Linked DNA regions of Caenorhabditis elegans. The protein of the gene in region 2 interacts with the protein of the main gene of each other region in a pairwise test. Each region holds a gene or a part of one and is shown on either strand. Other genes may lie near its edges. The genes, in order: lec-1 and C07E3.3.

Evidence for each region.
Region 1: the proteins of C07E3.3 (region 2) and lec-1 interact in a two-hybrid assay, tested with the Caenorhabditis elegans proteins (2 studies listed by BioGRID).

Annotation. Positions count from the first base shown.
Region 1 is NC_003280.10:13,194,825-13,200,264, reverse strand, and holds lec-1 (Galectin), read right to left. Parts: upstream 3,320-5,440; 5' UTR 3,157-3,319; coding exon 3,112-3,156; intron 2,232-3,111; coding exon 1,656-2,231; intron 1,024-1,655; coding exon 787-1,023; 3' UTR 552-786; downstream 1-551. Other genes in the region: btf-1 (BTAF (TBP-associated factor) homolog), read right to left, coding at 1-94. UniProt on the Caenorhabditis elegans protein: Binds galactose.
Region 2 is NC_003280.10:10,352,835-10,359,224, forward strand, and holds C07E3.3 (SH2 domain-containing protein), read right to left. Parts: upstream 4,685-6,390; 5' UTR 4,669-4,684; coding exon 4,561-4,668; intron 4,513-4,560; coding exon 4,384-4,512; intron 4,340-4,383; coding exon 1,193-4,339; intron 1,149-1,192; coding exon 1,053-1,148; intron 1,005-1,052; coding exon 924-1,004; 3' UTR 799-923; downstream 1-798. Other genes in the region: C07E3.8 (DUF223 domain-containing protein), read left to right, coding at 1-36, 131-419.

The DNA.
Region 1 (5,440 bases), 2.8 Mb from region 2:
CGAACGCAGCGGCCGCTTCATTTCGAACATTCGGATTTTTCGCTTCGAGTAGAGGGTCAAGCTGAAGAAGACGAGCCGACGTGTCGGCGCTCATCGGAAACTGAAAATTTTCAATTTTTCCGGCTTATTTGAGAGAAAAAACAGCGAAAAATGCATTTAAATCCAAAAATCCAAAAAAAAATGGGAGACACCACGCATTCCAGGGAACAAAAATCCTGAGGAAAACTTTAGAAACCCGAGTTTATAGCAGGATTATTCAGGATTATTCAAGATTTCGAGCTTCACATTATACATTATAATAATTATTGATTTAACAATAAGAAGAAAACTAAATTTTGTAGGCAAACCTGATGGGAAACACGCGCGGTTTTCACGATTCGACTTCCGTGCAATTTGTAGTGACTCGAGGAAAACGCGCTCTCCTGGACAAAAACGGCGGTACTTTCAAATATAGTTTTTTCGAGTTTTCGCTTACTTTTCGCGTTTTTTTCGCAGAACTTTTCATGATGATCCGCTTTCAAAATATGAAACCTGAAATGACAACGAGAAAATCTGCTATCCAATTTTATTAAAATACAATGTGGGGGGTGAGAAAAGATACAAAAAGAAAAACGCGGGATTACAGTTCAGTTGCCGGTGCGAAATAATAGAGAAATGATTCTTTTTGGGGGGGGGGGGGGGGGAGAGGGGCAGTAGACTTTTGGAAGATTGATCAGTGAGAGAGAGAGAAATGGGAGAGCTGGATAACAGAAGAAAGAGGGGGAACAGGGGATATCAATACATAATTTATTGGATTTGAATTCCAGACAGCTCAATGTCTCCAGAGATCTGAAGCCCGGCAATGTCGTGTGGATCGGCGCGGTGAGCGAACGAGATGTAGCGTTCTCCGTTGACGAACACCTGGAACGCGTACTCCTCGTTTTGGATGACCAAGTCGAAGCCGACTCCCTTCTCGAATGGGTTCTTTCCCTCGCGCTCCTCATTTCCCCATTCGTTGGCGGCAAGAGAGTTGCGGATGACGTGCTGGAAGAAAGGAAATAAAGAATTTGGTCAAATTTCTATTGAAATCGATTTTTTTTTGTCCTTTCACCAATTTTACCAATAGAAATAGACACATGCAAAACTTTTGTGTCTCATAAAATTGTTTGTTGAAGAGCGCCATATTTGCCCAAATGTAGCAAACAAAATGCGGGTCTTTTTGTGTATGTGTGTGTGAGGCACCACAGAAAGGAGAACAGGTGAACAAGGAGAACACAGAAACCACACCCATTTTTCCGTGCCGCAAGTTTTCCGCAAATTTTGAGGCACCACGTTTTCAGGATCTGGGGCACCGTGCCAACTGCGGTTTTTGCAGTTTTCTCTCGCTGAAAAACGAAACAACGATACTCCGATATGACGCGTCGCGTGTTGTTTAGCGTTCAGAATAATGTTTTTTTGAAATAAAAACTTTTGGAAAACGCTAAACAACACGCATAACATCGGAGCATCGTTGTTTCGTTTTTCATCGAGAGAAAACTGCAAAAACCGCAGTTGGTACGGTTCCAGATCCTGAAAATGTGGTGCCTCTCGCGGCACGGAAAAATGGACGTGGTTCCTGTTCTCCTTTGTCGTGGTTCTCCTTTCTGTGGTGCCTCGTGGCATATATCAACCCTTACCTTCTCATCGAAACGTGGGTTGAAGTGGAACGAGATGTCTCCATTCTTGCGGAGAAGGTTGACGTGGAAGCGCTTGGCCTTCTTCTCAACGGTTCCAAAGACGAGGAGGCTCTTTCCGACTGGAAGTCCGTTGGCGAGTCCGCTCTCGTATGGTACTGGGTAGTACTTTCCTCCCCAGTGAACGTGGTTCAAGTAGAGATCTCCGTCAATCGAGAGGTGAGAGATTGAGGAGAGTGGCAGACGGTGCTCGTAGTCCTTGAACTCCTTGTGGTCGACGATGATCTGGAAGCGATCGTCGTGAGCACGGATGCGAATGTCGAACGAGTCTCCCTTCTTGATTGGGTTCGACTTGCGCTCTTCCTTTCCCCATTCTCCATTCGAGAACGAGTTGAGCACAATTTTGCCCTCATCGAAGCGGACAGAGACGTGGAGTGGCACATCGTTTCCGGAGAAATCCGCGGTCTTCGAGTGAAGGTTGATGGTGAAGCGTTGCGACTCGTCGATCGTCGATCCCTTGACGATGAGCGTCTGTCCGGGCTCGAACTTCTCCTGGAGCACTGAGCGGTATGGTACTGGCTGAAAAATTTAAAAATTTTAATTTTTTAAAAAATTAATTGGATTATTACGGGAACACATTTTTCTGATAATGCGTACTGCACAACATATTTGACGCGCAAAATATCTCGTAGCGAAAACTACAGTAACTCCTTAAATGCCTACTGTAGCGCTTGTGAAATGCCGTAAATCGACACACAAGCGCTACAGTAGTCATGTAATGAACAATGAACTACTGTAGTTTTCGCTACGAGATATTTTGCGCGTCAAATATGTCGCGCGATACGCATTCTCAGAATTTTGTGTTTCGGTAATAGATTTATAAGTAGAGTTTTCTAGAACCATTTCTTCTTCCATATGCCATTTTAAAATGTTCAGTAGGGTAATCATGTAGAAATATATGCTGGGGGGGGGGGGGGACCTCGCGTGTCACACACTGGTGAACAGAATAAGCGAGCAAGAAGCGAGACCCGAAAAAGCGGAAGAGCTGTTATCCAATCTGCATCCACCAATCTTCGCGCTCCCCAGACTTTCATACAGCTGACGACGACAAAAAATGCCTTTTCTACATTGTCTAGTTGCTTTCTATTTTTTAGCTCCATTTTGCTCCATTTTGCACAAAATTTTGTTGTGATGTGCCGCCGAGCAAACACACCAGAAATATGGCGGGAATCTCGAATGTTGATAATGGAACCGAAGGTGTGGGCGAGCAGATAACGAGAGGAATGTGTCACTTTAGTGGCAACCAACAAACTTGGAATGCTCTCCATTTTCGAGCTGGTGTCAGAATGTCCCATGTCAGTTTGATCTCCGAAAAGTTGCAGGAGAAAAAATTCCCGCTTTTTTTTGTAGATCAAACATGGGACAGCCTGACACCCCCATGTATAGAGGCATGCTTTACCTTGTTCTGCTCGTACCAGCGAAGGAATTGAGGAGTGGAAGACATTAGTGTAAAGAGTTGAGCTGAGGAAAACTGAAAGCGATCGTTCAGGACGCGAGTCAAACGAAGAACTGACGACCGGTAAACAGTTTCAACAAAAGCTGAGAGTGTGAGAGGAGAGAGAAACCAGACAGTTGAACAGTCATAACATTCGCAAGCGCCGCCCAATATTGAGTCAGAGAGAGCATGGAATTATGGGAGGGTGACAGCATGTGCGCGAGGCGACATTGAAATGTTTCTTTTTGTGCATCTGTCTGTGTCTCCGACTTCTCGTACAGTCTCTCGCATACGACTTCTCGCCATGATTCATCGTGTCGTTGTAGGCGAAGAAAACAGTGAAATTGAAAAAAGGAACGGAACTTTCTGGAGAGGAAGAGATCGATAATGAGTGTTGGTACAGTTTTCAGCTCGAAATTTTTTTTGTATGATTTGTTGAAACTCAAACAACAAAAGTTTTCGGAGCAAAATCCATGCTCAATATTTGCGTCTTCGCATTACTGTTTACCGCATTTCGAGTCTGGGCGTCACGTGCAAACTTCAACTTCAAAGGCTCGAAATGCACTTCAAAAACCAGGGGGTGGGCGGCAAACGATTTTTTTCCGGCAAATCGGCAAATTGCCGGAATTGAAATTTCCGGCAAATCGGAAAATTGCCGGAATTGAAATTTGCGGAAAATCGGAAAATTGCCGGAATTGAAATTTCCGGCAAACCGGCAATTGCCGCCCACCCCTGCTTCAAACGTTGAAAAGGTGTTGCACAACTAGGGCCAAGGCGAGAAAAAATGTGGCATTGATCTTAGGCAGGTTCTCATGGTGTACTAGTGTTTTGTCCAAATTGCCAAATTGCCAAACTGCCATTTGTTGTTCTATATTCGAGAAAAAGGAGGTTACTACTCGTCGGAAGATTTTCAAGAAGGCACAAGACATCGAAGAGAAAGGACATTCATGATGAGACACGGCTTAACATAGAAGACTGCAGAAGCAATTTGAAATTCGAGTGGTAAGCATCTTAAAGATCAACTGGAAATTGTTTCAAGCTGGAAAAAAGAGATTAAAAATGCCTTTTGAGCTTTTGATGGAAACATTTTGGTCTCACTTTAGCTGAAGACGTTTCTAAATTCGAAGCTTTTCAACCTGATTCTGTAGAATTGCTGCAAACTGGACGTTATGCAAAAATCGTTTCTTTAAAATTGTTCACTTAACGATCAATCATCAGTGTCAAGAACTACAATTTCGAAATCAACTATCAACAAATATATTTTTTGCGGCGTCTGATCTTCCTTCTGATTCAACACGTAGTAGTAGTAGTCCAAACATCGGTGGTGAACTATAGAGGTGACACTTACAGAAACGGGCAAATTCTCCAAAAGTTTCTGTCCTTTCTTTTTCATTATTTCTTACGCTTGACTGGGGCCGCCGCCGCACTTTCATCACCCCCGTACTGATACGGTTTTTTTTCTATTCTTTTCTTTTTTGTTGTTGTTACAACACCGTTAGAAACGAAACTCACGTAGGACTTTGGCTCTTCGGCGGACATTTTTTGCTGGTGGTGGCTTTTCGGTGGTTCCTGAAATTAAAATTGAATTTTAAAAACATGATTATTTAGAAGAAGAAGATGAAAAAGCGAGAAAATTTCCGACGACGACGACGACAATGGCAATAAAAGTGTGGTCTCTGGGCGCAATAGAGAGAGAGAGAGAGAAGGGCAGGAGAGACGCAGCATTTCGTAAATAAAGTCCGAGAGACAACAGACGTGTAAACAAGAGACAAAAGAGCACAGAACGTGTGTGAGAGATGCAGGAAAATTTTGTGTGTGTGTGTGAGAAATGACGCTCTCTCTCTCTCTGAAGAAGAAGAAGAAGAAGAAACCATGGTGATAAAATTGTGAGAAAATATGGGAGGGGAGAAGAGATTTGTTTATGATGAGGTGGTGACACATTTATGATTGAATTTGAATACATATTCTTTCTAGGCTTTTATGAGGTACTGTATATAGGCGGTTTATGTCAATATTTGAGCAAGAATTTCAAAATTTTTCTTAAAGGTTCTAAAGTTAATTAGAATTTAAAAAAGTTCAATTTAAAAATTTGTGAGTGGGCGACAAACGAGTTTTTTCCGGCAAATCGGCAAATTGTCGGAATTTGAAAGTTCCGGCAAATCGGCCAGCCGGCAAATCGCAGAATTTGCCGGAATACCAAAAATGAAAATTTCCGGCAAATCGGCAAAGTGCCGGAATGACAATTTCCGGCCAATCGGCAAATCGGCAAATTGCCAAAATGAAAATTTCTGGC
Region 2 (6,390 bases):
ACCTCATCATTTTGAATCACTGGAAATAACCAGCTTGTAAGTTTTTGGAAAATGCTACACAAGTTGGAACTTCCTAATCTTGGCAGTTTGCGGAAAACTGTCGATAACTGAATAAGTTGAACATTTACAGCACGATCGATTGTTTATTGTATGGAAACCGATTCCGTCCAACTTTGGTAAACTTCAAAAACGCGCCCATCACAGTTGATTCGCTCTCAATTAATGCCCCTTCTTCCGGAATCCCAAAAGTATTTCTCAGTGCTATGATGATTTCCAAGTGGAAGGTGAAGACTCTGCATTTGGTTGTTGTTGGAAAAAACATATTAAACGAGGTTACAGTTATTGATTCTAAAAACCTGCGAGGATTCCCCGTATGCAATGGAGGAGCTTCAGTTAAGTTTGACTGGAAAAATGCTTGAAGAAATGAGCAACAATGATTATAAAGTTAAACATTTTCGAAAGTGTTTCCCAACGAAGAAAATGAGTATAAAAATACTCTCCCAAATTGAGAATATTCAAGATATTCGAAAGCTTTGTATTCAGGAAAAGAATCTTGATCTAGCAATCGATATAATTTGTGATAAATCATTGTTACTGAAATTTTGGGTCTCGCAAAAGAATACCCGTGGGAGCTTCTGGAAAATGAAGATGCTGTGAAGAATGACTTGGATGAGTTAAACAAACTAAGGATTACCATGAATAATGACAAGTATCAGAGCAAGATTCGGTTCCAGATTTTGTTGAATCAGTGAAGTTTCATAATTTTGATTTCCAATCATGCATTCTTTAATCCCAAAAAAGGTTAAAAAATTTATTTGCATTTTAAAATTAATTATTGACAATTAATGAATAAATTACATTAATGCTTATCCCCATTCTTTTTTTTTGGATTTTTCAAAATTTCAGAAAAATATTCAATGCAGTTAATGAAGCTTGTCATAAAAGCTGACAACAGGACGTTGTCTCAATGAAAGCGTTGGCATGTACGAATCGTAGTGGAGTCTCTGGAAATTAAAAAGAGTTTTAGTTATTAGCAAGGAATCTCTGGTTACCTCTTCAAAGCACTTTTTCGAGACATTTTGATAATTTGTACCCTCTCCGACGTTTTCCGTGTCGTCCTCGTTGATGGGAATTGTTAGGCGGTTTTCCTAAAGAATATCTTTATTTAACTGAAGATAATAATACTATTCACCTTATCTCTGATGGAATCTTGACTGGCTCTTTTTCTTATCACTACAGGACTTCCATCATTAACCGCCACGTGTGTACAGTGCTCCACTGTGCAGTTCTGTGGCGGCAACACATTCTTTGCCTCGTCATCAGACGATCTTCTTTTGGCAGAAGCTCCGTAGCTTGTTTGAGCTGGAAGCACGTAGACTGGATGTCTTCCAACTTCTGGATGACGATGAAGTAGTTCATTATCGATTGCAGCAGTAGCTACAGTTACGTATGTCACGTTGTTCTTCTCTGGCTGCAACTCGTCATCGATTCCAACGATCATTCGCTTCTCGGCGTGTAGTTCGGAGACATGTGTTGGTGGAACATCATCGATGGGGTTACTGTAGATAGAAATTATGGTGGAGGATTTGGACTCTGCGGGGACATGTATACTCAATGGTCTACGACGACGGTAACTGATTTCTGGGTAGAGATGAGTTTTTGGTTGTGGGAGAACTACCATTTGGTCAAGAGTTTGAGTGGATTTAGATTTGCTGACTGTTACCGGATGTTCTGGTGGGGAAATTATTTTTGGTGGTCTTTCTGGCATGATTCTGGTGTAAGTTTTTGGGTAGGTACCCAAATAACTTTTCGGCTTCTCTTCATATGGAGAATCGTCATTCATAATCACACTAGACGGAGTTGGCGATGGTTGAGGATAGTCAGACAATGGTATACTGTAGGTTGATGTTGATCTAGATCTATAGATATAATGCTGAAGGGGAGTTCCCGGGATGTCTTGATCAAGACTAATCTGGTGGAGCTTTTGAGGGGGAGTGCGTCTAGACGGGGTAACAAGAGTACGGGAAATAGGTTTTTCGAGAGGAGGGGTACTGTATATTGGAGTTGACCTAGGCCTAGACACCTTAAACGGGGTCCACGGAACGTCCTGTTGAAGACGAGTCAAATGGAGCTTGGGAGGCATACGAACAGAAGATGGAGACACCAGGCTACGCGTTGAAGTACTATCTACTGATGGGGTATTATAGACGGATGAAGCGCGGGATCTAGAAATATAATGCTGCAATGGAGTACTAGGAACTTCAGGTTGGAGTGGGGTTAGATGAAGTTTTGCAGCCATTGTTACCGATGGTGGAGGGGTATATCTAGATGGGGAGACTACATTCCTATCCTCTGGTGGAGTACTATAGATCGGGGTAGATCTAGGTCTGGAGATGTAGTGGTTGAGTGGTGTTCCAGGAACTTCACGCTCCAGATGAGTTAGGTGCATTTTTGGAGATGAAGAAGGAGGGGGAGTGTATCTAGATGGGGAAGCTACTGTTCGGGTCGAAGCCTCCTCGACTGGCGGAACGCTATAGGTGGATGAAGAGCGAGATCTATAAATGTAGTGCTGTAGTGGAGTTCCAGGAACTTCTGGTTCAAGTCGAGTCAAATATATTGTTGAAGACACAGGTGGATTAACTGCACGAGGAATCACAATAGGCTCTTCTGGAGGTGTACTGTAAACTGGTCTTGGTCTTGCCACGCATGAGTACAGCGGAACATGTGGTACCTCCTTCTGAAGTCTAGTTAAATAGATTTTTGGTTGTGGAGAACGAGGAGCACTGGCGGTTGATGGTGGTCTACTGTAAAGTGGTCGCCTGGACAATGGAGCCCGCTGAACTTCCTGCTCAAGAGGAGTTAAATAAAGCTCTGATGGGGGAGAACGAGGTGGACTAATCGTAGATGGAGGTCTATCGTATAGTGGTCTTCTAGGTACCGGAGCACGAGGGATATATTCAACCGATGAAGCAGTACTAATAGTTGACGGTGGTCGACTGTAGAGGGGTCTTCTAGGTAGGGGAGACGTTGGAACATCTCTTTGAAGATTGGTATGATAAATTGGAGTACTGCTTCTTGATGGAGGGGGTGAATATTTTTTGTTCTGATTTGAGAATGGTATGACTATGATTCTAGAGTCTCCGGGATCACTGTACTCAGGCTGTCGGATCACAGATCGTTCAAGAGGGACTGGCGGAATTTCTTTTTGAAGCGGAGTTTTTGAATAACGATAGGTAGGTCTAGGAATGACTATGGGCTCTTGTTTCAGATTATTTGTAGCAGTAGTACGATAGACTGAGGTCATCGTAATTTTGTCCATCGAATGATACGACTGACTTAAAGGGATGCTAGAAACGCGAGAGTTGGTTGGCTTAGTCTGGCTGGGTTTAGATATTCTACGATAGATTGGTGTTTCTTGGGGAACCTTGTCGAGAGCTGTAGTTGAGTTTGATGAGAATGGGATTATGACTGTTCGAGGACTGTCGGATCTACGATCCACTTTAACAGGAATCACATAGGTACTATTAGATGATGGTGGGATTGGAGGAGATGTTTGAATACGGACACGGTGGCTCATTGGCGTTGGAGTTATGGAACGTGGACTTTTTTGGACTGGGACTTCATCATAGGTTGGGATACGACAATACAGACTATGGACACTAGGGCTACGAGGAATCTGATCATATTTTGGAAGTTTCGAGGCTCGAGAACATGTTGAAGCTAAGGAAGTTCGAGAAGAGGTTTTTGAAGCTTCAGAAGCTCGGGAGTACATTGTATTCCTGGGAACTTCGTCATACTTTGGGAGTTTAGTACCTCTTGAGTAGGTGGCGTATGGTTTTACCGATGTTTCTTTCAGCTTTGAAGCTTTCGAGTAAGTTGTACTTCTAGGTGGTTCAGGGGTATCTCCATAAGTGGTATAGGTAGTGACAGTGGTAGTTTTACAGTATTGGGCTTTGGGGGTTCGTTCATACCTTGGACTCATCGGTGGAATGTAGCGTGGCATTGGATGTGGATCGACTTCCGATTGACGTGGCAACGGGGATACTCTGCCACCAAACACTGAAGATCGCTTCGGATAGTTTGGTGGAGACTGCTTGCTGGGAACTTCACGGCGTTGAAGTTCAGGGGATGGATCGATTGGAACTTGGTCGTAGCGGCGAGTGGAAGAAGTTGGAATTGAGAATTGTCGGCCTTCATTAACTTCGGTCATTGGTTTCAGTGCGAAATAAGTGGCTGGATCAGATGGAGAAGCATGTTTCATCGAATCGTAATGATTGAACTCATTGTACAAGTTTCCTTGTGGTGCAGGTTGGTTTTGGCGGTACGCATCGATGATTGGCTGGAAATTGGGTTTTAAAATCATTCAGTCATCAAATAAAATACCTCTCGACTCTCGTGTTGTCTGATTCTCAACGTTTCCAACTCGACCTCTCTCTTCCTCAACTGCTCTCTTCGGATCCGGTCACGAAGCTCATCCTCTCGAAAATCAAACGGCTCAGCGGTTTCTGTGGACTGAAAAGTGAAAGTTAGTCTTGATTTATCCTTAGGTAAGTTTCTCACAAATTGTGCATCAGTCTGATGTTCTCTGCTCACTCTTCGTACTCCTCTAACTGGCGTCTTCTCGCCTCCTTCCGGGTTCCGAAGATCGTAGGATTGACTATGTCCCATTGTTTCTGCTAGCGGTCTGAAAAATAAAAATGAATTTGCAAACATTAGGAAAACTCTGAAAGTGTAGCAAAGAAGTATATTTAAAACACCGAATTGGAAGCTGTTGCTTCTGTTCTGTATATATAAAAAATGACGAATATGAGCTATAAAAAGAAAATCAGAAGGAATTGTGGAAAATATTATTCCTCAAGAAACTGAATGATCATCGAGTAAGCGGAGTTTAGGTGTATTGATGTCTCTTAAAAAGTACGAACGAAGACGAGTCAGATGACAAACTCCCTCCCACCGCAACCATTAAACAACCATCATAAGCAACCTAAAACAAACAGGGAGAAATGGAGAAAAAACATTTTGAGTCACTCTCTTCTACCATTTTATGGAAAAATATATGGAGAAAGAAAGAAATAGAGAGTTTTGTGAGTGAGAAAATAAACAAGAATCATTTTATGAGCAGAGTTTGGAAAAAAAATTATTCGCATTTTTTCCTCTAAAATCTTACACAAGAAATAATATACAAAAAGTTTTAAGATAGAGCGTGAGAAAAAGGCTCAAAAGTAGGCTTCAATTGTAGGCCGATATTTAGAAAAATTACACAATTTTCATACCTCGGAAAGACATTTTTTAATGTGTTGTAAATTTACTCATAATGATCAAATGTTTTGATAAAACACTTCAAATAAACATTTCGATCTTCTTTTTCATTAAAAGTTTTGAAAAATTACCAAAATTTCCAAAACTTTCGTTTGGAAATTTGGACAGACCTCAAAATGGTGTTAATTAACACGATTAAGAAATGAAAATACGGAAATTAGCGAGAAAGTGAGTGACAGGCGGAATAACAACGACACACATAAAAAGTAAATTATCTGATTGACATATACACATATATTTTCACGCACTTTGCTTGATCCACCGACATGATTTCAATCCCTGGAGACAAATTCTAATTAGAGACCGTAGGAGACTAAGTGATTTAGAGAGATTGTCAAGCGGAAACCGTACAAAAAGCGGTGCGCAACATCGAATTGTTGCTGGGGGTTGCAAAAAAGTTTTTCTATTCCTAGATATCTGATTTATTAAGTTTTTACAAGATAAGGAGATATTTTGGATAGTAGGGTTTGAATAATTTAACTTGGGGTAATGTCTAATAGTAAGTTTCGAATTCAAGTTCAATTTAAAGTAGACAGAGCATTCATAGTTTTGAGCATTTTTAAAAATATATTCAACGCGTTTTAAATTTAGTCTTCGCAGAAACTTATGAATAGCAAGAACTGAGTAATTACCTATCTAGTTTTAAATGTTCTAATATCAAAAAGTTCAAAGAATGCTAAAAATCATACGTCACACTTCCTATGTTCAAATGACATATGAAATGAGTCAAAAAGTGAGCACAGGGGGAAGTGCACACAAGAACTCGGTGTTTTGTCAGTTCTTCGGATTATTATTATTGTTAGTGAGTTTGACGAAAGAAGAGTCGAGTGACCGATTGGAACGATCATCAGGGAAGTTTCAAGCAGATTTGGGAATTTTAAAACTTGCTTTTAAAGTATTGAACATTTCGAGTTAATTTAATGTTTGCCGTGGCGCTGTTTTGGCAAGAGTACAAGACTGCTTATTTCAGTATGATGATACAACTTTTTGATTCAAAACTTGATATGGAAGTGTAGAAAAATATATGTTTAATCTGATAATAATATTTATTTTTGTTTAAAAAATTGAAAA